Canis lupus familiaris: one gene and its partners. The protein of the gene in region 1 purifies or fractionates together with the protein of each later gene. This does not show direct contact. Links are inferred from orthologs where the notes say so. Each region holds a gene or a part of one and is shown in the gene's direction. Other genes may lie near its edges.

Evidence for each region.
Region 2: the proteins of SF3A1 (region 1) and SNRPD1 fractionate together in Homo sapiens (co-fractionation; 4 studies listed by BioGRID and IntAct, with this or other methods). This does not show direct contact. The link is inferred for Canis lupus familiaris from reciprocal best matches to the Homo sapiens genes SF3A1 and SNRPD1.
Region 3: the proteins of SF3A1 (region 1) and SNRPD2 fractionate together in Homo sapiens (co-fractionation; 3 studies listed by BioGRID and IntAct, with this or other methods). This does not show direct contact. The link is inferred for Canis lupus familiaris from reciprocal best matches to the Homo sapiens genes SF3A1 and SNRPD2.
Region 4: the proteins of SF3A1 (region 1) and SNRPA1 purify together in Homo sapiens (affinity purification with mass spectrometry; 6 studies listed by BioGRID and IntAct, counting the BioPlex papers as one, with this or other methods). This does not show direct contact. The link is inferred for Canis lupus familiaris from reciprocal best matches to the Homo sapiens genes SF3A1 and SNRPA1.
Region 5: the proteins of SF3A1 (region 1) and ZC3H18 purify together in Homo sapiens (affinity purification with mass spectrometry; 3 studies listed by BioGRID and IntAct, with this or other methods). This does not show direct contact. The link is inferred for Canis lupus familiaris from reciprocal best matches to the Homo sapiens genes SF3A1 and ZC3H18.
Region 6: the proteins of SF3A1 (region 1) and DNAJC8 purify together in Homo sapiens (affinity purification with mass spectrometry; 4 studies listed by BioGRID and IntAct, with this or other methods). This does not show direct contact. The link is inferred for Canis lupus familiaris from reciprocal best matches to the Homo sapiens genes SF3A1 and DNAJC8.
Region 7: the proteins of SF3A1 (region 1) and PRPF19 fractionate together in Homo sapiens (co-fractionation; 3 studies listed by BioGRID and IntAct, with this or other methods). This does not show direct contact. The link is inferred for Canis lupus familiaris from reciprocal best matches to the Homo sapiens genes SF3A1 and PRPF19.

Annotation. Positions count from the first base shown.
Region 1 is NC_049247.1:23,910,286-23,914,324, reverse strand, and holds the start of SF3A1 (splicing factor 3A subunit 1), read left to right. Parts: upstream 1-1,239; coding exon 1,240-1,302; exon of another isoform or gene 1,303-1,350; intron 1,351-3,946; coding exon 3,947-4,039. UniProt on the Homo sapiens protein: Component of the 17S U2 SnRNP complex of the spliceosome, a large ribonucleoprotein complex that removes introns from transcribed pre-mRNAs.
Region 2 is NC_049228.1:66,463,568-66,465,826, reverse strand, and holds part of SNRPD1 (small nuclear ribonucleoprotein Sm D1), read left to right. Parts: intron 1-1,040; coding exon 1,041-1,232; intron 1,233-2,259. UniProt on the Homo sapiens protein: Plays a role in pre-mRNA splicing as a core component of the spliceosomal U1, U2, U4 and U5 small nuclear ribonucleoproteins (snRNPs), the building blocks of the spliceosome.
Region 3 is NC_049222.1:110,602,083-110,606,375, forward strand, and holds the start of SNRPD2 (small nuclear ribonucleoprotein Sm D2), read left to right. Parts: upstream 1-1,493; 5' UTR 1,494-1,542; coding exon 1,543-1,544; intron 1,545-3,294; coding exon 3,295-3,474; intron 3,475-4,293. Other genes in the region: QPCTL (glutaminyl-peptide cyclotransferase-like protein), read right to left, coding at 1-20, 520-795. UniProt on the Homo sapiens protein: Plays a role in pre-mRNA splicing as a core component of the spliceosomal U1, U2, U4 and U5 small nuclear ribonucleoproteins (snRNPs), the building blocks of the spliceosome.
Region 4 is NC_049224.1:40,139,848-40,143,973, forward strand, and holds the start of SNRPA1 (U2 small nuclear ribonucleoprotein A'), read left to right. Parts: upstream 1-1,326; 5' UTR 1,327-1,430; coding exon 1,431-1,512; exon of another isoform or gene 1,513-2,029; intron 2,030-3,319; coding exon 3,320-3,467; intron 3,468-4,126. UniProt on the Homo sapiens protein: Involved in pre-mRNA splicing as component of the spliceosome. Associated with sn-RNP U2, where it contributes to the binding of stem loop IV of U2 snRNA.
Region 5 is NC_049226.1:65,225,645-65,229,144, reverse strand, and holds part of ZC3H18 (zinc finger CCCH domain-containing protein 18), read left to right. Parts: intron 1-617; coding exon 618-766; intron 767-1,095; coding exon 1,096-1,188; intron 1,189-2,023; coding exon 2,024-2,181; intron 2,182-3,500.
Region 6 is NC_049223.1:71,586,672-71,590,958, forward strand, and holds the start of DNAJC8 (dnaJ homolog subfamily C member 8), read left to right. Parts: upstream 1-1,487; 5' UTR 1,488-1,562; coding exon 1,563-1,640; intron 1,641-3,954; coding exon 3,955-4,056; intron 4,057-4,287. UniProt on the Homo sapiens protein: Suppresses polyglutamine (polyQ) aggregation of ATXN3 in neuronal cells.
Region 7 is NC_049239.1:55,998,423-56,002,498, forward strand, and holds the start of PRPF19 (pre-mRNA-processing factor 19), read left to right. Parts: upstream 1-1,276; 5' UTR 1,277-1,291; coding exon 1,292-1,364; intron 1,365-1,905; coding exon 1,906-2,055; intron 2,056-2,240; coding exon 2,241-2,317; intron 2,318-3,092; coding exon 3,093-3,234; intron 3,235-3,317; coding exon 3,318-3,391; intron 3,392-3,512; coding exon 3,513-3,575; intron 3,576-4,076. UniProt on the Homo sapiens protein: Ubiquitin-protein ligase which is a core component of several complexes mainly involved pre-mRNA splicing and DNA repair. Required for pre-mRNA splicing as component of the spliceosome.

The DNA of each region.
Region 1 (4,039 bases):
TCATTATCATTCTACATTAATAATAACAACGACAAGGCAGCCGGGGTGGCACAGCGGTTTAGCGCCGCCTTCAGCCCAGGGTGTGATCCTGGAGACCAGGGATCGAGTCCCACATCGGGCTCCCTGCATGGAGCCTGCTTCTCCCTCTGCCTGTGTCTCTGCCTCTCTTTCTCTCTGTGTCTCTCATGAATAAATAAAATAAAATAAAATAAAATAAAATAAAATCTTTAAAAAAAATAACGACATAAACCAGCTACGGAGTGTGTGCTTGTGAGAAAGAGAGATGGGGTAAGACATTTGGTAGGGCATCTTTTCCTATCCCGTTTCCATTTCGCAAGTAAAGAAATTGTTAAACTATCCAAGCAAAGGCTAAAAGTCGACCCGCGGTCCGGAGCTGGGATGGAGAGGAGAGGGGACGAGGTGGACCGGATCTCAGGAAAGGAAATGGAAAGAGCGGGATTCGAGGTGAGCTCGGTAAAACTAAGGAAGTGGTCAGGAGGAACGCACCTTTGGGAGTGAGGGACGGAGCTTAAAGAAGTCTTGATTCGAGACGGTCCACGGGGCTTGAGGGCGGGACCATGGAAGGCAGAGGGTGGAACCTTGAAAGGCAGTCCCACGGGAAGAGAAACCAGTGGGAATTTGATTTCGGGACTTGGGAAGGGAGTCTGAAGGAAGAAGGCATGAAGCGAAACCGGCTGAGGAAGGAGGCGGGGCCTTGAGGAGGCAGGTTGGAGGGGAAGGGGTTCTCCAAAATGACAAGCCAATGGGAGGGAGCGGAAGGCCCTTGAAGGCGGGGTCGGAGGGAGAGAAGAACCCACCTTTAAAGTAAAGGAGAGGGGGGGCCAGGGCCGTGGGGTGCGTGCGGAGAGCGTCCGGTGGGTGATGTAGAACGTCTCCCCAGGATCCTGCGTCGCAGCCTCAGCCCCTGTGGTCTGGTCGGCTCATGGAACTGCCCCCCGACGCGCCTAGGGCTCCGGGGAACCCCCACAAATCCTAGCTGGGTGCCTCGATCGCTGCCATGGCAACGGCGTCTCGCGCTGATCACTCCAGGGCGGGAGCAGGAAGTTGCATCATGAATAAGGGGCGGTCCCGGAAGTGCGTCAGCTCCTCCTCCTTGGCGTCGAGTCTCTCGGACGCCGCCATCTTGCGAGCTTGTTGTATCGTCCGTGCGGGGAGCTGCTTTGACGCAGCACCGCTCACCTTCAGCGAGGCGGACTGGCAGCCCTGAGCGTCGCAGTCATGCCGGCCGGACCCGTGCAGGCGGTGCCCCCGCCGCCGCCCGCGGCCACCGAGCCCAAACAGGTACCGCGACCCCCACACCTCGACCGGCAGCCCTATCCTCGGCTTGGGCCCTCCCCTCCAGCGCGGGCACTCCTCACTAAGGCAGAGGAAGAAGCGGCCGCTTACGAGGGCTTGGAGGACTACAAGTCCCAGGAGGCCGCGCGCTTCCCGCTCTGCGCGGCCTTCGGTAACGAAAGCGCCCTTGGAAGTGTGGTCCACGGACCAACAGCATCAACATTGCCCGGGAGTTCATTAGAAATGCTAGACCTAAATATTAATACATTTTTAATAAGATCTCAAGGTGATTGATTAAAGTTTGAGAAACACTGATTATGCCCATTCGCAGGTTTTCTGTGGTTATTGGGCCCACCTTTGGCCCTCCTCACCCTCGCCTTTCCCGCCGGCTTTTGCCCAGCAGTCCTTAATTTCGCATCCTGTACGGTACAGTTTAGACAGTTCACAGCATCTGCTTGGTGCTTACTCTAAGCCAAACACCGTACCATGCTCCGGCTTACCCAGAATGAATGAAGCACAACTAGTGTAGGCAGCTCATGGTTCTAGTGGGGAGGCAGATATAAGATGAATATTCTACAAATGTTTATTTTTTCGATCACCGTAAATGATACAGTCAGCACTTATTAGCTGAGAGGGAAAAGGGTGTGTAAATAATTGCAGTACTGTGTGATAGGCACTTTTAGTATCAGGTACAAAAGAAACAAAGCAACATTTCTTTGATGGAGTGTAGGGGAAATTAAAGTAGGTGAAGCCTACATGAGTGACAGGTAAATGGCTTTTAGAAGGATGAATTAGTAGTTTGCCAGACAGGTGATTGGAAAAGGTTAATGGCATCCTTTATTCATTAAGCAAACATTTATTCAATACATGCTATATGGTGACCACTGCTTTGGGTTTAGAATACAGCAGAGTACATGATAGAAGAGGTCTGTACCCTTACCACAAGTATTTTAAATATATCTGTATTCCTGGCATTTCCCAAGTCACTTGGGGAAAAGTAAACAAAGTAATACCAGATAATTGCAAAGACATCAGGGTAGGAATCAGATGATGTCTCTGGTAAAGAGTAAATTAAAAAGTGTGATTGAAACATAGGATTGGGAGAGTGGTGGCAAAAGATGCATTTGGGGGCATTTGAACTTTCCTAGTAGATAGTGGGGAGAAAGGGAAGAGTTTGGAGCTGGTTAATGACATGTTTGTGTTTCAGAAATTCAGGTAGGCAGGTAGTGATGAGAATTGCTAGGAGCACAGTTTACTCAAAAGATGCTGAGAGGTGGTTTGGGGGGGCAGACTGGATGGGCAAGCTCAAGTCACAATATGGCTGGTGGTACAGACTCTGCAACTAAAGTGATGGAATCCAACTAAAGTTTTGGAATCCTGGTCTTCCATTTGGGCCAGTTAAGCTTTATGTTCCTCAGTTCTTTCATCTGTAAAATGGGGGGGAATAAGAGTATTCACATGAAAGGGCTCTCATAAAGGCTATAGCGTTAATTTATTTAAAGTTCTTAGAAAAGTATATGGAACCTACTGCGTGCTTGATAAATGTTATCGTTGAATGTGGAGGCTGAGGAAGGGAAAGGAGGCCCATGTTTCTGCCCTGGATGACAGTATATTGTTGGCCAGTTATGAGAAAAGTGGTTAGAGAGGAAAGTGCCTGGGAGTCAGCTGGATCTGGAGTTCTGTGGCACACAAGAGTGATCGGGGACATCAATTTGTGTGTGATTGTTCAGCCTAGAAGTGGTAGGGGAAGTGAAGGACCCATGGTTGGAGTGCCTGAGGACAGTGTGAATACTGTGGAGAATAGAATTTTGGGGAACTCTAATATAGGGCAGGAGGTGAAACAGGAGCCAGGAAGGAAACTCGGATGGAATGGTGAGCAAGAAGGCAAAACACATGAGAATGGGGCCTGGGATTTGAGTGGAGAGGTTTGTGAGGGAATGGTCATGGTCACATGACCAGATAGATGACTGCTGTAGTTGGCTGTAGGCAGTCATATTTGACCAAATTTGGCAAGAGCACTTGAAATGGATGGGAACCAAACAGGAGCTGAGGAAATAGGTAGGAATGGCAAGACAGAGAACTCAGGAAATTTAGCTATCAGAGGAAGAGGAGGAGAGGACAGCCACAGAAAAGAATATGAGGGCAGGGAACTGCTATTTTTTAAGATGAGAGACTGACCCTTTGTTTACTAAGGGAAAGAAACTGGTGAAGAAAGAATATTGGAATTTACAGGATAGTTGATGTATATTCCAGTAGGGTTTCACAAAACATTTGAGCATTGAGTGGTAAAGACTGGAATAGATGCAGAGGAAAACGACATAAGGAGCTGCCAGCAAAGAATCGCCTATCTTTATTCAGCAGTCATTATCTGGACTCTTGGTACAAATGCAGATTCTCAGTGTCACTGAGACCAGCTAGCAGCAGGAAGCCAAGGAGGCTGCTCTCTTCACTGGTTCCCTGCGAGAGTTCCATGCAAGTGCTGTACAATTAAGAGAACTGCTTTTCTGGAGCAATGGGTCCTAACTCAAGAAAAGTTCGTAAGAGAGAGTCTATACTGGCAATAAATTTTAGAGGAGGTTGACAGTAGGGATCCAGTCCCCCAGATCAGGAGTGTCGAGACATCATTTTCCTTTCCTTTTGTTTTTCACAGCCCACAGAAGAAGAAGCTTCTTCAAAGGAGGATTCTACCCCCTCCAAGCCAGTGGTGGGAATTATTTATCCTCCTCCGGAGGTCAGGAATATC
Region 2 (2,259 bases), on another chromosome or scaffold:
TATATTTGTGTATGTGACACCAATTGCTTTAAAGGAAATCAGAATAATATGAGGTTTCAGTAACATGGTTAGTGACCCTGTGGCACTGACCATAATTGCTATTTGAAGTAGATGTTGGGAAAGTTAAGAGAATTCATGTTTTCTGGTCTAACTTTGTAGGAATAGAAATAAACTAGGTCTTTTGTTACCCATTTGTTCAGATATATTGGCAAAGGCTCCAATAATTGGGTATTTCTAAGATAATGCCATAATATTCATTCTAGAAAATTGTGCTTTTCTTTTACAAAATCTCACACTAAAAGCAATGGGAAAAATAGTTTGAGGCAGAGCATTCAAAACTTGTGCAACTTGGGAATTAAAGTACTAAAAACAGTAAGATTCCTTCAAAAAGCAGTTAAAAAGATGTGTTAAATTCCTAGTAACAAGGAAAATACTGCAATATATATAGGATCTTTTATTTAAAACAAGACTTACAGGGGCAGCTCCGGTGGCGCAGAGGTTTAGCGCCGCCTGCAGCCCTGGGTGTGATCCTGGAGACCTGGGATCGAGTCCCATGTCGCGCTTCCTGCATAGAGCCTGCTTCTTCCTCTGCCTCTCTCTCTTTGAATAAATAAATAAATCTTTAAAAATAAAAAATAAAACAAGACTTAACAGCTTGGTGACATGGGGAATAAGGAAGTTATGGAGATAGTGAGAACGCCCTGAGATGAGAATACCTGGGCACAGTGGGAATGAGTCAGGTATCACTCAGGGTTCCTCCGTGGCTTGCTGCATTCACATCTGTAAGCATACCTAATCATGCAAAACATTAATGTACTAGAGATAATCTCCGAAGAAAGGATTTTTGGTTTATATTGACATTATTCACCCATTAACCAGTTGTACTAAATTGTGTCCTAGAGTCTTACAGAATAGGCAGTGTCCTAGAGTGTAGCAGAATGGGCAGTATTCTTTTGTATTGTGTTATTTACTTCGGCTTGATAGATTTACTGGTTGCCTTCTTTATCATGCTAATAAGCTCTCTCTTTTTTCCCCTGTAGGTGTAGATGTCAGCATGAATACACATCTTAAAGCTGTGAAAATGACTTTGAAGAATAGAGAACCAGTACAGCTGGAAACACTGAGTATTCGAGGAAATAACATTCGATATTTCATTCTACCAGACAGCTTACCTCTGGATACACTACTTGTGGATGTTGAACCAAAGGTGAAATCTAAGAAAAGGGAAGCTGGTAAGTTTGAAGGATTATAAACATTATTTTTTAAAGATTTTATTTATTCATGAGAGACACACAGATAGAGGCAGAGACATACTCAAGATTTTTCAGGTTTTTATATTCCAGTTAGTAAACATACAATGTTATATTAGTTTCAGGTGTACAACATAGTGATTCAACAGTTTGATATGTGGCGAATGTACTCTTTAACCCCCATCACCTATTTCACCCATCTCCCCATCCCCCTCCTCTCTAGTAACCATCAGTTTGTTCTCTTACATAGTTAAGAGTTTGTTTCTTGATTGACTGATCTTTCTCTTTCCCAAATTTGCTCTCTTTGATCTTTATGTTGTAGGCTTGACTTGAATATCTTGTACTTTGACCATTTATTTAAATAATAGAATCCTAGGAAGAGAAGTTCTGGGAGGGGAGGCTGGACCCATAAGCTTGAGTCTCACTGTAGGGTGGTTCAGAAGTGAGTTAGCCTCTTCACTGAGGAAACCCAAAATTTCAGGATCTAGAGTCATTTCTGAAGCTTTGCACTCCCCACCCCTCCCACAAAAAGATTCTGCTCATCTATTGTAGGAGATAATGCCTAGCAGCCAGCATTATAGGAGTAGAGCAGGAGAAAGGGCTGGGTGTTTTGTAGACAGTCACTTAATACATTGATTTTGAGACTTTTATGCCCTCTTTCCACTAAGAAATATACTTTGTTGGGATCCCTGGGTGGCGCAGCGGTTTGGCGCCTGCCTTTGGCCCAGGGCGCGATCCTGGAGACCCGGGATCGAATCCCATGTCGGGCTCCCGGTGCATGGAGCCTGCTTCTCCCTCTGCCTGTGTCTCTGCTTCTCTCTCTCTCTCTCTCTGTGACTATCATGAATAAATAAAATCTTAAAAAAAAAAAAAAAAGAAAAAAAAAAAAGAAATATACTTTGCATCATGGCCCATTCATGCATATAACCAAAACAAAAATCTCAGGAAGAATTAGTCTTAATACTTGCAAATGTCTATATGTTTTCTATGCTCTTTTAGTTAAGAAAAA
Region 3 (4,293 bases), on another chromosome or scaffold:
AGGCTTCCGATCAAGCGGCCCTTAGGAGGAGGGAGCAAGGAGAGGGAAGAGAAGAACCGAACGTGAGGGCAACCCCCATTCCAACCCTAACCCGGACGCCATCGCACCTAAGAAGCCCCGGTTCTTCTTCCTAATTCGAACCTCCAGCATCGGAGGTTTCCAGAAGAAATCCTAGGCTAAGGAAAGTCCCTCTAAACCCACCAGGTCCAGCCCACCTCAATCCTGATGGGGAAATCGAGGCCGAGAGAGAGGAAGGGACTCTTCCAAATAGCTGACTTTCAGATTGGAACCCAGAATTCCCAGTGTTACTACTGCAGACTCTCCCTCTTAGGTAGAACCACCTATTACAGAACAAGCCCAAAGCCTCAGTTCGTTAGCAACGGGCATGCGCTCTATCGACGGAGACCGCAGCACCTGCAGCTTGGGCCAGACGACACAGCCACGTCAACCTGAGACCTCAGGGAAGGGGAGGCGGGGAATGAGGGCTCCCGCGGTGCCCGTGCCCCTGCCGGGCCTCACCCGCAGCTCCCGGCCCCGCGGCAGCTCCTCAGTCTGGTGGTGCCAGCCGCTCCAGATGGTGTAGGTCGCCGAAGCCAGGGCCAGGGCCAGCAGAAGCAGAGGCAAGAAGTGCGCCCGCGGGAGCAGGCGGCGCTTGGGCGGGGAGGGCGGCTCCAAGAGGCCACGTTCCCCGAGCCGTAGCCGGGACCGCCCGCGGCCCCCGGAAGGCATGGCAGCTTCGCCCCGAAACCGGTCCCGGACCGCGGATAGTTTAGGCCCAGCCAAATCCCACCCCATGGAATCACCGAACCAATAAACACGAAGAGCGGCTGCACCATCCCACCCACCCTCGGTCAGTGAAACCAATGGCGACCCTCACTCTGAGAACACGCCTTCCTGTCTCCCTGGGGCTTTGGGGTTGGTTCCCCTGAGGGTTGCACAACCCAAAAGGGTAGTGCGAAAGGGAGAGGCTCCGCCTCAACGGAGGAACGGAAGCCAATGAGCAATGTTTGATCCTGAAAAACGTTGGACCAAGGAGCAGGTCTCCGCCCCTCCCGTAGGAAGGCAAAGGATTGGTTACTCGAAGTCGGAAAGATCAATAGACACGTAAACGAACCGACACCGATGGAAAAGGGGCGGTGCCCGTCCCAGAAGCGAGGAGCCGATTGGCTACACGGAGGCCGCGCCCCCGAGGGCGGAGCCGGCGGGCTTTTGGAATGCCGTGTCCTGTCCCTTCTTCAGCTTGTGCCGCTCTACAACGAAACGATTTGAGTCGGACCCGCTTTATTCTTCTCTCCATTGTCTTCTCTCCATATGGTCCTGAAAGACCCTGAGCTACTACGCAGTGCTTCTACCCCACGTCTGCGCGGGGCCGGCGCGGATTGCCACGGCAACAGGCCTCGCCCACACCGTGCAGGTTGGGATTGCGCAGGCGCCGACGGAAGTCGGCCACAGGAAACGGAAGTCCCGCCTGTAGCCCTCTCTTCAGAGGCAGGAGCAACGCGGGGAAGACGGAGCTGATCTGCGAGCGCAGCCGCTACCACCATGTGAGGCCCGGCGGGAGTGGGGTCGAGGGCGTAGATGTGGCCGTTTGCCGGTGGTGGGCGAGGCGGGATCGGAGGCAGAGGTTTTAGGGGTAAAGTACGCACCGTTCTGACGAGTTTGAGGATGGGCATGGGGCCTTTTACGGGTCCTGAGTTCGAGGGAAGGCACTTGATCAGTTAATGAGCCGGGATTTCCCCGATAATGAGTCTCGCTGAAATGGATTTTAAGGGGAAGCAAAGAACCTGGGAAACGGGAGTGCGGAGTTTTAGAAATAACGGTTTGAGGTACGGGACTTACCCGGACAATTTGAGCTGGAGAAGTTCACCTCATTCGCGACTTTTTCGGCTCACGAATCGCCTTAATGATTTTCCTGATTTGGTATTCATTCAGCAATTATTTATTGAGCACTCATGTATTAGGCACTGCTTTAACTACGTGAGATACATCAGTGACTGCGACCCCCATCCCGCAAGAAAAATGCCCTGCTGCAGCTTATGGGTGTGGGAAAAGGCAGACAATGAACACACCGGTGATAAAAATGTAAAGTGTATGGCGTGTGTTAGGTGATCAGAGCTAAGTGAGTAAAGAAGCAAAAGAGCAGGATCCAAACAATGGGGAGTACTAGTTTTGAGAGAAAGTAACTCAATAACCAGTGCAGGACACATTGAGAAGGCAGCAGTTGAGCAGAGACCTGAAGAACCTGAGAACCACAAAGATACCTGGGGAGGTATCCAGGCAGAGGGAAAACGAAGGGAGATGCCCAAGGTGAAAGTCTGTCTAATATCTTATATATTTTTTAAAGATTTTATTTACTTGTGAGAGACACAGAGAAGCAGTATCCCCACAGGGAGCCCGATGTGGGACTCGATCCCAGCATCCCTGGGTCAGGATCTTTTTTTTTTTTTTTTTTTAAGATTTTATTTATTTATTCATGATAGACATAGGGGGAGAGAGAGGCAGAGACTCAGGCAGAGGGAGAAGCAGGCTCCATGCAGGGAGCCCGATGTGGGACTTGATCCCGGGACTCCAGGATCGTGCCCTGGGCCAAAGGCAGACGCTAAACCGCTGAGCCACCCAGGGATTCCCCCTGGGTCAGGATCTGAGCCGAAAGCAGATGCTCAGCCATTGAGCTACCCAGGCGCCCCTTGCCTAATATCTTAAAGGACCACCTTCAAGGCCACTGGCTGGAACAGAGAAGGATGGGAAGATGCCAGGCATTGTAAAAACTTTGGGTTTTACTTTTTACACAGAGATGGGAGCCATGGGAGGGTTTCGAAGAGTGAAATGATATGACTTAGATTTTGATACAACCTCTGGGACTGCTGTGGAGAACAGACGGTCAGCGGCATGGGCTGAGGTAGGGAGACAAGTAAGGCTCTCAGGAGAGAGATGATAGAGGTTTAGGCCATGGTAAGAAACAGATTCTGGGTATATTTTAGAGGCAGATGACAGAATTTGCTGACATTGAATGTAGGATGTGAGAGAGAAGAGTCAAGTTGATATCAGGGTTTCTGCTCAAGGAACTAGAATGATGGAGATGAGGAAGGCTGTGGAAAGAGTAGGTTTGAGTGATTGGGAGATCTGGAGCTCAACTGAGGATGTATACGGTTGGAAATGTCTATTCAGCATCCAGCTGGTGATGCCATGCAAGAGGGACTGAGCAGGGGGGTGGGTGGGTTGGGGAGACATCATGTGACCACCCACGCTCTAGCTCTGGGCCTCTCACCTACGGGTTCCATGCTTGCCCCTCAGGAGCCTCCTCAACAAACCCAAGAGTGAGATGACCCCAGAGGAGCTACAGAAGCGGGAGGAGGAAGAGTTTAACACGGGTCCGCTCTCTGTGCTCACACAGTCAGTCAAGAACAACACCCAGGTGCTTATCAACTGCCGCAACAACAAGAAGCTCCTGGGCCGTGTGAAGGCTTTCGACAGGTAAGCACCTGGGTCCTGGAAGGTGTTCTGTCTTGGAAATGCAGACACAGTTCCAGTGTGAGGAACCCAAATACAAGGTTTTCAGAGTCCTGGGGCATAAGCATATTCAGACCTCAAAGTGCAATGGTGTCTTGTTGTCCTTCCAGCTGTGCAGTACAGTAGTGATGGGCATGTACTTGGGAGCCAGGCTTCCTGGGTTTGTGTCTCGACTCTGCCTCTTAGCAGCCATGAAACCTTCAACAAGTAACTTTATCTCTTCCATTCAATGGCAGTAATTCTGGTGATTGCAGAGATTCAGTGACTTAATACATGTGATGTGTAATACAGTCATTAGAAGTACAGCATCTGGCACCAGGAAGCTCTTATTAATCAGGTTTTGCAGTTACGATATAAAGTACCATGCCCCAAAAGAAAAAAATAAAGTACCATGCCCAGTACTTTTTTTAGGCTCCAGAGACACAGCAATGACTGAAAGAGGACTCCTATACTTAAGAGAGCTTATGCCATAGGTAGGGAAACCAACAGCAAGCACACAAACAATGTGTCATAAGAATAGTAAAGGCAGGTGAGAGTGTGGAGTGCTGGGAAGGAGGTGTTGTCCTAGACGGTAACGCTAGGGGTTCCATAGGAAGAGACCGTGATGAACAGACCTAAATACAATGAAGGAGGAAGCCAGGGTCTGAGTGTTTCAGCCAGAGGGAACAGCAAGTGTTATTTCCTCTCTCGGCCTCAGTGTCCTTGTCTGCAAACTGTGCGTCATAAAAATACCCCTCATAGAACAGTTGTGAGGATTAAATATTTCTGTAGGAAGGGTACTTG
Region 4 (4,126 bases), on another chromosome or scaffold:
GGTCTCCAGGATCTCGTCCTGGGCTGAAGGCGGCGCTAAACCGCTGAGCCACCAGGGCTGCCCTACTATTATTTGAAAGAGAATTTGCATGCACAGGGAGGAGCAGAGGGAGAGGGAGAGAGAATCCCAAGCAGGCTCCTGGCTGAGCCCAATGGTCGTGCTCCATTCCACTACCCGAGATCATGACCTGAGCAGAAATCCAGAGTCCCACGCTTAGCCAACTGGGCCACCCATGCACCCCAGTCCCCACAGTTATACTGGCAATACTAAAGGGGCTGAGGTTGGAAGTGATGGAAACCCTCTTGCACACAGCTAGAGTATGTATATTAGTATTATTTCAGCCTCTTGGCCTGTTAGGCATTACTTATTGATGATAGTATACCCTATGCCCAGAAGCTCTACTCCTGGAGAAACTTGGACACGTGTGCATTGGATCCACGTACAACAAAAATGCATAGCGGTATTCGGAACAGCCCCACGACAAAACGATCCTAATGTCCATCAACAGCAGAATGGCTAAATTGTGGTCTGAGATATACCATGGGATTCTGCACAGCAGCGAAAAGTAAACAAACCATTGCTGGATGCAACCTGGGACGGATTCCAGTTATAACACAAAACCAAAGACACCAGGCACGGGAGCACGCTGCGTGACTCTATTTGTATCAAAAGCAAGCAAAAACTAATCTGTGGTGTTGGGATTCCTGGTTGCCTTTGGGAAGGGATGGAGGCTTTCGGAAAAGTGTTCTTTTTTCTGGACCCGGAGGCAGCAACGCAGGTGCGCTCCCTCTGCGGGTATTCTTCACGTTGCAGATTCCTGGTTTGCGCACTCTTCTGTATCCCGTGCTTCTGTTAAATATTTAAATACCTGGAGGTCACAAGCCTAACCGAAAACTGAACTGTGCGCGGGGCAGGGTCGGGCGCGCTAGGTGGTAAGACGATCCCAGCGGGGCGGGCTGTGATCGACCCTGCCCTGGTGGGGCGGGAATCCTGAAGTCCTGAACCTTTCACTGGATCCCCCGGGTGCCCGTCCCTCCTGGGTGGGGCGAGGGCAGACACAGCGTTTCCTCCCGCCTCAAAATGCATTGATGCATGAGAAAGTTCTATTCGGGTGCGATTACATTTTGCTTAACTTGCGGACAAGAGCATCATCAGGAATCAGGGGCCCTCCTTCAAGCACGCCCCAAGGAAAAACCCAGAACCCGAGACACGTTCCGCGCGCTCCAGCAGCTCCGCAGACGACGAGATCGTGGGCGTTGCTCACGATCGATTACTTCGGCCTGGGTGCCGAGCGGCGCGCGCATGCGCCGGCTGCGATTGGTGAGGCCTGGCGGCGGGGCGCGGGGTACGCCGGGAAGTCTGGCGGGCGGGAGGCGGCGGGAAGCAGCCGGTGGGCCGCGGCACCGGCAGCGGCAGCGGGAGGCAGCAGGATGGTGAAGCTGACGGCGGAGCTGATCGAGCAGGCGGCTCAGTACACCAACGCCGTGCGGGACCGCGAGCTGGATCTCCGGGGTGAGTCTCGAGGAGTGGGTGGGCCTTCGCGCCCAGCCGCGTGCTCGGAGGGCCGGCGCTTGGCCCGCGGGCCTGCCTTGTGGGCGCCGAGCCGGACTGTGGCAGCACCGCCCGGGGCTGCGTCTTCCCGGTGCTGCCAGAGACCATCCCTAGGCCCTTCTGAGCCTTGGGTTACCCTCGTTCCTACTCACACGCCCAGCCAGTAGATCGCTTCCTGGTCCACAGCCGAGGGCCTCAGGCAGGCCTTGCTTGGCGTAGTTCTCAGTCTCAACTATTTGAGAGCTGGCAAGTTGTTCGTGCTGGTAACGCTAGTGCGCAGCGGCTGGTTGGTTCTTCGTAAATACGTTCAGGTGTTACTGTGGGAGCGTAAGTAAGAGAACGTGTTACCTGTAATTTGCGAGGGGGGAAATGACGTCGGAGAACAAAAGCGATTGCTTCCGCAAGATTTCTTCCCTCTTCCCTTCAGTTGTCCCATATTTCTCTTTTATCAAAGCATTTGAGGGGCACCTGGGTGGTTCGGTCGGTTAAGTGTCTTTGATCCCCAGGGGTCCTAGGATCCAGCCCCGCATTGGGCTCCCTGCTCCGAGGGGAGCCTGCTTCTCCCTCTTTCTCTGCCCGCTGCTCTCCCTGCTTGTGCCATCTCTCTCTCTCTCTCTCTCTCTCTCTCTGAAATCAATAAGTAAAATACTGAAAGAAAAAAAAAAGGTTTTAAAGAGGCTTGCAGTACAAGTTCCCTGTGTAAGGCGGTAGAAGCTCTGAACTATTCAAATTCACGTAGCCATTTCAACCTTAGTAAAGGCTTGGTGGGAAATTGGGAGTGCAGCTGTCTAATCAGCATATCAAGGAAATGACTCTAGGAATGATGTGAAGAGCAGTTTCTCTGGGAATACAATTTGGGCCTGAGATTTGGCTCCACAGAAGAACACCGTCTGAGGTGCAGCACTGTTGTGGGCTTTGCCTTAAGCTTGGATTCCTTGCTGACAAAGCCAGACTGCTTTCATTTTGTTGAAATTAAGTGTCGCTCTCTTGGCGAAGATTGATCTTTAACCATCTAAGCGTGAAGTGCATCGAGTGTTGAGGCTACTTGTTTTGATATAGCGTTTGCTTTGCTACAACCCTTGTTGCTCTGAATTATGTACTTTAACCTTGGCTTGGATTCGTTTCTTTCTTCCGCCAGCACCTAGCACAGTAGTTATGCCCATTTAAGACAAACTCGTGAGGGTTTGGTGAATTGTTCACAGGGTGATGTATTATTGTGTATAAACTGTTGACCTTCAACTCTGAATTGGAGCTGGGGGAAGTGTACAGTAAGGGAGAACTGTCATGAGATCACAAGGATATCCTGGTAAGTTTTATGTATCTGGCCTGTGGGAATGCAAACAGAGTCAAGAGCTGTTGTCCACAATGTATGAACAAGACTTGGACGCTGACAAAAAAGCAGCTTACAATGTAAATTCTCATTATGCCATTTACCTATTTCTGGAGCTTTGGTTATAACAGCGTGAGGGACCTTAAAAAATACTCCTGCAAATGTTAGCTACCAATATTACTATTAATAAGTGTCGGGTGTTGTCATGACTGACTTCATGTCCACTCCTAGACTGTGGCAGTGGGCCATCTGATCCTTGTTCCTCATTTTATGTGCCAGATACTTGCACAGTGTTTGGCACAGCACAGGTACCAGGTAAACACTTTCTAAATAAATGGAAGCTTTGAGTCAAATTACCATGAAGTACTGCTAAGGTTTTAAGGTATCGTTTAGCCATATCAATACTTGTGTATTTTTTTTTTTCCTTCTACTTTGCAGGGTATAAAATTCCTGTCATTGAAAATCTGGGTGCTACCTTAGACCAGTTTGATGCTATTGATTTTTCTGACAATGAAATCAGGAAACTGGATGGTTTTCCTTTGTTGAGAAGGCTGAAAACATTATTAGTGAACAACAATAGAATATGGTAAGTGTCTGCTAGTGGAGAGTAATTCTCCCCCCGCCCCCCAGAGTAAATATTGCAGCATTCCCTGAAGAAGCCATAGTACATATACTGCCAGTTGAGCCTACGTATTCTTATTTATTTATTTATTTATTTATTTATTAAGATTTTATTTACTTATTCAAGAGAGACTTGGAGAGAGAGGCAGAGACACAACACAGGCAGAGGGAGAAGCAGGCTCCATGCAGGGAGCCCCATGCAGGACTCCATCACGGGTCTCCAGGATCACACCCTGGGCTGTAGGCAGCGCTAAACTGCTGGGCCAGTGGGGCTGACCTATGTATGTCTTTTTTTTTTTTTTTTTTAATGTATTTCTTTTTAAAATGAGAAACAAGCTACACTTTTGCCATATAGGCCCATAGATTAACTTGGTAATGGTCTTGTTTTTATTTGCATTTGTTCAGAAATACTTATATATTCATGGTAATAGATATTTAAATTGCAAATATTCTGTTTTGTGCATATTTTGGCTTCTAAAACTAATTGTAATTATCAGAGGGATTATATTTAGAAGATATGTAAAGTTCAACAATTTTATATAGATAGATAGACTGATTTATTTTAGGGAATGAAAGCCCATGCCTGAGAGCAGGGAGTGGTGCAAAGAGAGAGAAATCCTCAAG
Region 5 (3,500 bases), on another chromosome or scaffold:
GTGTTTTGAATCTAGATAAGGATCTTACACACACATACCTCTGAGCCCTTGTGGGGTTGCAGGGTCACCTGAGCAAGAGAGTGCCTCGCAGAGCAGGGGGCCACCTGTGACTGGGAAGCTCTGGGACGTCTCTATTTGTAGGGCCAGATGAACTCTTCCCAGAGTGACTTAGGGACACGGGGTGCCATGTTTCCTTGACCACATGACCCCTGCCCCTTTCAGGAGCCCTTAGGAAATCCCGCTCACAGGAAGTTCCTCAGTCCAGGCTCTGGCCTGAGACCTTCCAGGCCTGCCTGCCAGGAGGACCTGGTGCATGTGTGGAGGTGGGGATCCCGGGTGTGGGGGGCGGTGGTTGCTGTGCTGGCTCAGCCTTGAGGAGCGAGCCTGGATAGCCCTGCTCTGAGCTCTGACTCTGCTGCCACTGCTGGAGCCTGTCCTCAGGTTCACACCACTTATGAGATGGTGAGGGCTGTGTTAGGAGCTGGGGGGCACACGCGGGACCCCTCCCAGGCCTGGCACTGCCCCCAAGCTGCCGCTGCAGGCAAAGCGGACAGGAAGCTGACCTCCTGCACTCTGGTTCTCTTCTACTTTTTCTGACCTGGCTTTTGTCTCCATAGGGAACTGCACATGGGGAATGAACTGTAGGTTTATACACCCTGGAGTCAACGACAAGGGCAACTATTCCTTAATCACCAAAGCCGAACCTTTCCCGCCTAATGGTGCCCCGCCTCTTGGACCTCACCCACTGATGCCTGCCAACCCATGGGTGCGTGAACATCTGTTTTCTTTAGTTGCTAGCAAATGGGACATCTAAGCTCTCTGAAGCTTCAGCTTACAGCACATTAATACACCCCGTGTAAAAGGCACTTCTGTGACATCACACAGTCACTGAGTTACCTTCCAGATGCTTCCAAATCTCCATGTGGAGGTAATCCTAGATTTGGGCAGGGTTGTGGGTTAGGGACCAAATCAAGGTTTGGAGAGCAGGTGGTGTACAGCCGAAAGATACTCTAGCTGGGGTTTTTGTTCCTGTTTCTTTATAGATTTTAAAGTTTTGCTGGCTTTCTCAACTTTTCCCTTCTCGTTTTTTAATAGGGTGGGCCAGTAGTTGATGAAATTTTGCCTCCACCCCCTCCAGAGCCCCCGACAGAGAGTGCCTGGGAACGAGGACTCCGGCACGCAAAGGAGGTAAACCAGATGGCCCGAGAAGAAAATGCTAGCAGCAGTCCTTGAGCAAAAGTAGCATTTCTTTGATTCAGAGACAACGATTGAAAACCCAGTGAAGTCTCTGAAGTGAGGGGTATATTTCTGTGATTTCTCTGAAGAGTTAAGAGTGGAAACTGATGTCTGTCGATGTCTCCACGATGCACCAGCTCACGAAACAGGCCCACTGCCTTCCTGTGGCCTGGGTGGCAGCAGATTCACCCTAGCTGCTGCTGCTCTGCTGCAGCCCCTGGCTGCCCAGAGCCACTCCTCATAGATGTAGCGCAGGGAGACCCCTGCCAGTGGAGGAGCCGCCCTCTCCCTCCCCACTCGCTCTGGTCATACCATGGCCCCAGCTGTTGGGCCTGCTTTCTGAGCCCCTACTTCTCTCCAATGAGGTTTTCCTCCCTCACTCAGCACACAGCCCACCACCTCTCCTTTCTTCTGAGACCGGAACCACTGCATGTGGCTTTTCTGCCATGAGCAGATTCACCATTCTCTCTGTGTTGGGCCACCTCACAGTGACTCTCTGCCACTCCCCATCTCAGTGTTAGGACTATTTCTAGGAGATGGCCAGCTCTGTCACCCCTTTCTGGAATGGAAGCAAGCTCCGAGGCACTGCTGAGCCGGCCTGTCCTGACTGCCAGGTGTAGAAATGGAGTGCTCCAGGCCTAGAGCATAGGCGCATCTCCCCTACCACGGGCTCAAGTGGGCTGCTTCTGCCACTCTGGCCTGGGCTCTGTGGGTCAGATCAGGATGGGCTTCCCTTTGCTTTTCCTAACAGTAACTGGCACTGACTTCTTCCTCCTTACGATGGTAGGTTTTAAAAAAAGCAACCATTCGAAAAGAACAGGAGCCTGATTTTGAAGAAAAAAGGTTTACGGTGACCATTGGCGAAGATGAACGGGAGTTTGATAAAGAAAATGAAGTTTTCCGAGATTGGAATTACCGGATCACCAGAGATGTCCGGGACACAGTGTAAGGAACAGTTCGGCCTCTTCCTTCCCTTTTGAGAGAGTATGAAGTTGTCCCCAGCCATGTGAGCCCTAGGCTCTGGAGAGCATCAGCACACAGGTTCCCTCAGGCATTGGGTGCCACGTGTGTCCCTGTCCTGGGCTGAGAATGGCACCCCCAAGATCCCTTTGAACTTTCCTTGGTTTTTTGCTCTGTGAAGGAGGTGTCTCAGCTCTGTCGGGGCTGCTGCCTGGGGAGGGCTCACCTTCCTATGGGTTTCTCTGAGTTCTGAGAGTTTCTCTGCCTCAGAGAAACTGAGCCCCGTGGAGCTCACATGGAGCCCCGTGTGTCGGCCTCTGCCCACCCTCCTCCAGGCACCCAGGAGCCAGGGAAACTGTGACATTGCCACCAGAGTCCAGGAACTGGGCAGGTGTGACCCTTCCCATTATAAAAGCTGTGTTTGTTGATCCTTCTCCTAGATGTTTCATTACTGGTCTTTTAGAGACTCGTGACAGAGGTACATATGGTTGAAATACCTAAGTCCAAATTTAGAAATTGTGTAATGTTAAGTAAAGTTCTCATCTGCCTGTGCTTATCCCATGGGGGGAAGGCCGGCTTTGTGGTGCTCCTCTCTGAGGGGCAGAATCGGGCGAGTTTCTCCTGGGCAACAGCAGCAGCGTGGGCCCAGGTCACAGGGATGGCATGGCATTCGGTGTGTCGTCAGAGCCGGCTTCAGCAGCATCTCAGGCTTTTAGCGACATTTCGCGCATTCACGTTTACTGCCAGGAAACCTGCCGGGGTCTGGCTGAGGATGGTGCGGAGAAGGACTCATCTGGTGCTTGCATGTCAGGCTGTCTCAGGTCCCTTCTGTCACACCTCCATCCTTTATGCAAACAGGAAGGTCCACACCTATCATGGCAGGAGACATCTCAGAGGCTGAAGGGTAAAGATTTAAAGATGTAGTTTCCACTTCGTTGTTTTCTAATTCTGGATGTGGAGGTGTGTTAGACCCCAGACAGGAGCATGGGAGTCAGGACTTTGGCTGCCAGGTCATATGCTCCCTTCACACCCTGAGGCCTCACATTTTGCTTATGTAAAAATCCAGGTGGTGATCTTGCCTTGCTGGAGGTAGGGGGGTGAGAGTCCGGAGAGTCCGCGCATGTGCATGGGGCACTGTGACTAGCACAGAGCAGAGAGTGAGTATGGTCATTCTGAGCATGGAAAGAAGGGGTTTAGAACCTCAGCATTTCCCCTTGACACTCCGTTTCCCGGCCCTGGCTGCCACGGAGATCCGCGGCTATCCTCCAGGCCAGCTGGGTGCAGAAGTCCAGCAGTCAGCATGG
Region 6 (4,287 bases), on another chromosome or scaffold:
CATGCAGGGCACATTTTCAAAAGTTCATGGCAGAAAGCTTGGAAAAATACAAAAGCAGAAGGATAGAAATAATAATCACTTAGAAGCCCACTACTAGTGGTAATAATTTCCTGTGTTTCTAGACAGTATATAAGTGCCATTCTAGTTTCAGAAACTCTGTTTTTAGTTTTCAGGTATTGCTGTTTCTTGATTATCTCCTAGGCTGGGCATTCAATGGAGGGTCTTGCTGAGTTTGTGCAAAGGATTGTATAGGCACTAGGATGGCTGTAATTTTAAAAAATGGAAAATAACAAGTGTTGGTGAGGATGTGGAGAAACCGTTACCCCTGTACATCGCTGGTGGGAATGTAAAATGGTTCAGCTACTGTGGAAAATAGTTTGGCAGGTGCTTAAAAAGTTAAATACAGAATTATCATAAGAGTCAGCACTTTCATTTGTAGATATGTACCCCCCCAAACTGAAAACTGGTACTCAAATACATGTACAGACATTTTCATAGCAGCATCATTTCACAATAGCTAGAAGATGGAAACAATCTAAATGTTTATCAATTAAAAAATTTTTTTAATATTTTATTTATTTATCCACAAGAGAGACACAGAGAGAGGCAGAGACATAGGCAGAGGGAGGAGAAGCAGGCTCCGTGCAGGGAGCGGGATGTGGGACTCTATCCGGGGACTCCAGGATCACACCCTGAGCTTGAAGGCAGACGCTTAACCGCTGAGCCAGCCAGGCGTCCCTCAATTTTTAAAATTTAATTTTATTTATTTATTCATGAGAGACATAGATTGAGAGGCAGAGACATAGGCAGAAGGAGAAGCAGGCTTCCCTGGTGAGCCCGATATGGGACTTGATCCCAGGATCCCAGGATCCCAGGATCCCAGGATCCCAGGATTGTGACCTGAGCCAAAGGCAGATGCTCAACCACCAAGCCACCCACGTGTCCCCGAATGTTTATCAACTGATGAATGAAAACAAAGTGTGGTATATTTATATAGCAGAATAACATCCAGCCATAAAAAGTAATGAAATGACGACACACGCTACACCTTGGATGAAACTTGAAAACATTGTGCACAGTGAAAGAAGGCAGACACAAAAGGTCACATACTGTGATTGCAATTATTTGAGATGTTCAGAATAGGTAAGTCCATAGAGGCAGACCACAGATTGGTTGTTGTCAGGGGTTGAGTAGAAGGGGGAATGGGGAGGAAATGCTCAATAGGTGCCAGGTATCCTTTTGAGGCGATGAAACTGTTTTGGAACTAGATAGTGACGTGCTCCTTAGGCAACACATATACTAAAATCGGAACTAGATAGAGGTTGGTAGTTGCACAACACTGTAAGTGTACTCAGAAACACCGAATTATTAATTTCAATGATATATTTTGTGGATCCCACGTCAATTTAGAAATGAGTGTTTGTTTAGGTTAGAGGTCTCTGGCTGGGCTGCGAACCCTTTAAGAGTCACAAGGAAAGGGGCGGGGCTAGAGAGGCGGGCCTGTAAGAATCACAGGAGGCTGCGCCTGCGCAGGAGAGTCACGTGGTTGTTGGGCCGGGGAAATGGCGGCTCCAGGAGAGAGCGGGGCTTCGGCTGGCGGAGGGAGCACCGAGGAAGCATTTATGACCTTTTACAGTGAGGTGAACACCGAGTGGGGTGTAATGGCACCAGGGCAACCCCGCCCGGTCCTACTTTCCCAGCGGGCAAAGGCAGTGGTCTTCCTGGCCTGGACCGTTGGGCGGCTCCTCCGGTCCGGCCTTCGGGAAGGCGGGGGATGGGGGGGGGGGCGAGCTGGGGGTGTGTTTGCGTCTTTGCCTGATAGCTGCTAGGGGATCCCTTGGGCTTGGAAAAAGGGGCCAGGGTCCCACGTCTGCGGGTAGACGACGAGTGTGGCCAACGAAGTGCCTGGGCGCGTGCAGAGGTCTCCGAAGTCCGCGGAGTCGGAGGCTGGCAGGGGCCGGCAGAGGCTGACCTTCTTGGGGGCGACTTAACTAATCGTGGACCTCATTTTTATTCTAAACGGAAGCACTGTCCACTTTTAGTTCTCTGTCATGAGTTGTAGTAGTGGTTGTTTCTGACATTTGTGGACGCCAGGCACTATGCATCGTGCCAGGTAGCATTATCTGTTTTACAGATGACAAGCCTGAGGTTTAGGGAGGTGAAATAATTTGTTCTGGATCCTAAAGCAGATCACAGCTTGGTATCATGTTAGGACTGGAGTCACTTTGGTCTGAGCCTCGCTTACTGTCGTGTTTCCAGCGCCTAGAACATGGTGATTCCTTGGTAAATATTTGTTGAATAAATGAATGAATAAATGAAAGAAAAGCATGCCGTTTGGAATCAGAGGACCTTGGATTGGATTTTTGCAACACAGTTTATTGGACCGTGATTGCATTTTTTCAAGGCATTGATTTTACAGATCTTCGGTGTCCACTTATGTAAAGTGAGAGTTAATATTAAAATGAGTTTAAAAAAAATAAGAAATAAAAAAGAGTTTTATGAGCGTTAAAGGAATTAATGTATAAGAAAGGGTCTTTCAAAGAGTTAAAGCTGAAGATGGACTTCTGTTGCAATTAATACTGAAAATTGTTTCGCTTACTATATCTTAGTTAAAAGAAAAAAGAAAACAAAAAAGAAAAGCAATCTTGGTTTGTTTGAATCTAATGAGAGAAAGTACCTAAAGGAGCACCCTTCATTTACCATTCAACCAATGTTTTTTGAGTACCTGACATGTACTAATGTACTGTTTAGTTGCTAGAGGTATGGTAGTGAACAACAGAGACAAATCCTGTCTTCATAGAGCTTGCATTCTATAGAGAAGGATAAGCAATAAACAAACATATACAATATTGTATCAGGTAGTGATAGGTACCATGAGGAAAATAAATTCGGGAAAGAAGGTAGAGTAGAGGGGGTGGGGAGTGGCATGTTGTTTTAAAGAAAGCAAAAAGGAAGGATACTGAGAAGGAAGGGCCTTTTAGATTACTGAAATTATTCCTAAACTCTTTTTGTTCATAGGAATAAAGATGGTATATAACATACCAGTGATTCATTTCAACTAGTATTATAACTCTGACAGTGGCACCAAGAATGTTTTCCTGGCACTACCTGATGTCTGTTCTTCTTAGCATTGTCTTTGGGTCAGGGGTTTTTCTTTCCTTCTTTTCTTTTCTTTTTTTTTCTTTTCTTTTCTTTCTTTTCTTTTCTTTTCTTTTTTTTTTAATTTTTATGTATGTATATGGGGGGAAGGGCAGAGAGAGAGAGAAAAAGAAAGAATTCCAAGCTGACTCTGCACAGAGTACAGAGCCAGACACAGGGCTTTTCCCCACGACCCTGAGATCACTACCTGAGTGGAAATGAGCTCGGCATCCAACCAACTGAGCCCCTGGGCCAGGGATTTTTCTAACTCTTATTCAGGTTAGGTAGGCAGAGTTACTTGCCCTTCCCATATACTTTTTTAAATGCTATTTTATTTTTTTAAATGCTGTTTTAGTATATATTTCAGTGTAATTGTATTTTTAAATAAAAAGCTGTAAATTAAGTATGAACAGCACAAGTACATCTTCCATCATTATAGTGGAAGCTCTTTGAAGGTGGTGGCTGTGACATATTTATGTTTGAATCTTCTTGATTCCTCAGACTGTTGGAATTAAAATTCTAGTTACAAGTTGGGTAGTTGAGAACAAGACAGTTAACCTCTCTAAATCTCAGTTTTCTTAACTGTAAAATGGGGTAATAGTAAAAACTGTATAGGATGGTTGAGAGGGATAAATATGTGTCAAGTTTTTATATTATTAGAACTCAGTGGATGATAGCTGTTGGAATTATTCCTCAAAACATTTAAAAAATTGTCTTCCACATGTAGACAAATGTTTGCTGAACATGTCAGTAGCTTAATATTCAGAGTTTATTATTGAACTTTACTAATGAAGTTTTTATCTCCCTTCATTTTAGGTGAAACAGATAGAGAAGAGAGATTCCGTTCTAACATCCAAAAATCAGATTGAAAGATTGACCCGTCCTGGTTCTTCCTACTTCAATTTGAACCCATTTGAGGTGAGCTGTCTGATGTTGCTGTGGCCTTGTGATGGGGAGCTTTGCATAGCTGGAGGCAGGCTTACATCAGAACACACACCTAATTTGTCTGATAGTTGGAACTGAGATTTGGTGATTTTATTTATTTATTTATTTATTTATTTATTTATTTATTTATTTATTTTTAAGATTCTATTTATTCATGAGAGACAGAGAGGCAGAGACACAGGCAGAGGGACAAGTAGGCTCCCT
Region 7 (4,076 bases), on another chromosome or scaffold:
AAAGGGCAGTTTCCGTTATAGGTGCCGGAGGCTGAGGCGCGCCGCCGACCGCACTCCCACGTGAAGCGCTGCGCGAGCGTCGCTCTGCGGGGTCGCCCCCCGCCCCCCGCCCCCCGCTCGCCGCTCGCCGCGGAGCGTCCCGGAAGCAGCGGGGAACCGGAAGCGGCCCGCGGCGGCGCGGAAGCGAGGCCCCGAGGCCGGCGTGAGGCGCCTCGGAGCGCTGCGGCGGCGCCATGTCCCTGATCTGCTCGAGTGAGTGTGGGCTGCGGCGGGTCGCGGGTCGGAGCGGGAGGAGGCGCCCGCGGGGCCCCCTGAGGGGCAGGGCGGCGGCCTGTCAGCGCGGGGCCTCCTCCTCCGCGGCGTGGGATGCGTTCGCGCAGCGCCTCACGGTTGACGCGGCGCCTCAGGTTTATGGTCGCAGACGTCACCGAGGCCGAGGACCTCGCTCGCGCCTTGAGCCGGGGCCTGGACGGGGGGAGCCGGTGCGGGAGACCCCGCCCCTCCCCCCGCCCCTCCCCCCGGCTTTGCGGTCGGACGCGGGCTCTGCGCCTCAGTTTCCCCGTCTGCAGAGAGGGGGCGTTGCGGCGGGCGTGTGCGGGCCCGTTCGGGCGGGCAGAGCCTCTGCAGCTTGCGAAGGTCACGCCGCGCGTCAGAGGCAGTGGCGGGGCTGGAGCCCGGGGCACGACCACACCACAGGGCGCCTTCGCTGAGCCCTTGGCCGCCGCGCCGGGCCCGACCTCGGTGCATCCCTCGCAAGCCTTCTCCAGAGCAGAAATGAAGGACGGGGTGTGCAGATGAGGGCCTGAGGCTGGAGGAGAGTGTGGCACAGCCGGGTGGGGGCCGCTTTGAGCCCCGGAGGAGCCGTGGCGTTTTGGGTTTTTTTTTTGTTTTTTTTGTTTTTTTTTGTTTTTCCTGCCTTGTACCGTCTTCCCTTTCGGCACTTTGACGCGGCGCGCAGGTGTTTTCCCGTGTCCTCAGGCTGCTAGAGCATCCCTCTCGGATGTGCTTCCGAACTCGCAAGCCCTGAGCTCTCTCCTCTCCTCAGAACCTCTCCGGGAATCCAAACGGAGGGAGACGGGAAGGAAGGGAAATGAGGGCCAGGAAAAAGGAATCTTTCATAGCGAAGAAACTGCAGCTTTTGCAAGATATTTCACGTTCGTTGTTTGCTTTCCATCTCGAGGAAGTTTTTTTGTTTTGTTTTTGTTTTGTTTTTGTTTTTCCCCGCTCCCCCCCTCCCCCCCCCCCCCATATTCCCAGCACCATTCTTCCTTTTATTTGATGGTTTCGTTGGATGTGTACCGGGTGCCTGCTGGGCATCTGCATCGCGCTGGAAGTCAGACCAGCTGTAATCCCTGTCCTCAGAGGTGTGTAGTCTACTGAGGCAGGTGTGTTCGGGGGTTGCTGTGAGGATGAGCCCATCTATAGAAAATGTTTACGATCATGCTCGGCACCTGATACACCATATAAGTGTTTCTTCTTAATGTAACACTCGTCAGAGAGCTTTGTGATTTTTTTTTTTTTTTTTTTGGTCCAAAATCCATCTTGGCTCTAGACTGAGATTTGAGTAGCCGTGTGTATCTCTGTGTCTTCCAGTATGATGGGTGCCTGGGCATCTTTTTCCAAACGGAGACGGGTGGGGATTGATGATTGACCACTCCGTAGATGTGTGGCATGTGGCAGTTGTGTGCTAATTGTTGGTTGACTACCTGCCAGGAGAATGATGGAGAAGCTAGTTATGTAGCTGAAAGGATGCTGGGGATACTACAAAAGTAGTGTCGTGTCCTGCTTTCTGTTAGTTGAAAGTGGGGACGTGTGGTTTTGTTGGGGCCAGTAGCCTGTGAGGCATCGCCTTGCCCCAGGGTCCCTTTCACCGCCCCGCGCTCACCGCCTGCCTTTTCTCCACAGTCTCCAATGAAGTGCCAGAGCACCCGTGTGTGTCCCCTGTCTCTAATCATGTGTATGAGCGGCGGCTCATTGAGAAGTATATTGCGGAGAATGGCACAGACCCCATCAACAACCAGCCTCTGTCTGAGGAGCAGCTCATCGATATCAAAGGTGCCTTGGTGGCTGGCCTCCATCCAGGGCTGTTTTTGCTCAGAGCTTGAGAGGCTGGGAGGTGGCACCAGTGCACTGGAGGAGGAGACGGTGTTCTGTTAATGTAGGCTAAAGGGGAAAGAGATGGGGGACATGAGGAGTCCCCGGGTTAGAGTTCTTCATACCCGCTCTCCCTCTCTTGGCAGTTGCTCACCCAATCCGGCCCAAGCCTCCCTCTGCAACCAGCATCCCAGCCATTCTGAAAGCTTTGCAGGATGAGTGGGTGAGTCCCTGGAACAGAACTGATGTTTGTCTGCTTGAAGAGAAGGGATCACTGCACTAGGACTTGGGGTGGGGAAAGACGGAGTATTATTTTCTTTTTTGAGGGGCAGGATGATAGTGGAGGAGGAGCCTGGTTGTTGAAGTCCCACGGATCTGGGTTCCACAGTTAGCTCCCTTGCTCCCTTGCCACATACCCTTGGGCATATTGCTCATATGTGAGTCCTGGTTTTCCTGACTCTACGACAAGGATTTGTGCCAGTCTCTCAGGGTGTGGACAGAATTAGAATAAAGGTAGAGTATAAACCTTGCGACATCAGGGATTTGATTTATTAATTGGTATATCCCCAGCACCAAGGGTAGCACCTGGTATGTAGTGGTGCTCTGGAAGACGAATGAGTGACTACATCTTGAGTGGTCGTCTCGCACAGTACCCGGCACAGTGAGGGCAGTTGATTAATGGCAGCCTTAGTGTTATGATTCCCTTGTGGGGAGGTGACGGAATGACGTCGAGATTTGCCTATAAATCAGAGGCGATGAGGGTGGGAAAGAGCTGGCTCCCACTCCTGTCTGTGCCCAGTATTTGGTATGAGGTAGCAGCTCCAGAGTGGCCACCAGCACATTCATGGTCCCTCACGTGTTGTTTGGGTTACCAGTACTGGTCTAGGCTGTGGGAATACAGGGCAGTGTCCTCTTCATCTCTTGATCAAGGGCTGACTCTTCTGCTGGGTGTTCCCTGCTCCTCCTCACCCCCTCACAGTGGCGTTTCCCTTCTTCAGGATGCAGTCATGCTGCACAGCTTCACTCTGCGCCAGCAGCTGCAGACAACCCGTCAAGAGCTGTCCCACGCTCTGTACCAGCATGATGCTGCCTGCCGTGTTATTGCCCGGCTCACTAAGGAAGTTACAGCCGCCCGAGAAGGTGCCACCTATGCCCCAACATCCCCCACTCTGGGCTGGTCCTGCTTTGTAATACCCCATTTTTAATGTATTCTTTTCTCTCAGCTCTGGCCACCCTGAAACCACAGGCTGGACTCATCGTGCCCCAGGCTGTGCCGAGCTCACAGCCAAGTGTTGCAGTGAGTGCACCTCCCCCTTCCTGCCTGTCTTGCAGCCCCTGTGTGCAATGTCTCATGTGGCTCTCCTGCAAGTGTCCTGGGTGTTCTGTGCCTCCCTCACCTTTAACCTTCTTGTCTTCAGGGTGCAGGTGAGCCGATGGATTTGGGTGAGCTGGTGGGAATGACCCCCGAGATTATCCAGAAGGTAAGTTGTGGGAAGTCACTTGGTGGGAATGCTGGTGGGCCCTCATGTCTCACCATCTGCCTTGAATCCAGTATGAATAGAAATCCCACCCATGTGGGACTCCCAGCAGACCAGTGCAGCGCACAGACTCAGGCCACACTGCCCAAGTTCATGCCTCTGTATCACTGCTTAGAAGCTTTATGACCTTGGGCTGACTTAACCAAGTCTGTATCTCATTTTCCTTTTTTTTTTTTTACATTGAGAAAAACAGTGTCTGCTTTGTAGATCTATGGGAATTTAAAAGATTGTAATTACCGATAAGTGCAACTTGTAGCTCTTACTGTTAGCGGGGTATTGGGGTTCTTTGCATATCATAAAACACTGGTTACATTTTCACATTTTTTTTTCTCTGATGGAGACAGAAGGTGAATTACCATCTTTAGTTTACAGATAAAGAACTGACACCTTTGACAGATTCAAAGGTACAGGTCACAGAAGGCAGAGCAGGCCAGATATCAGGGC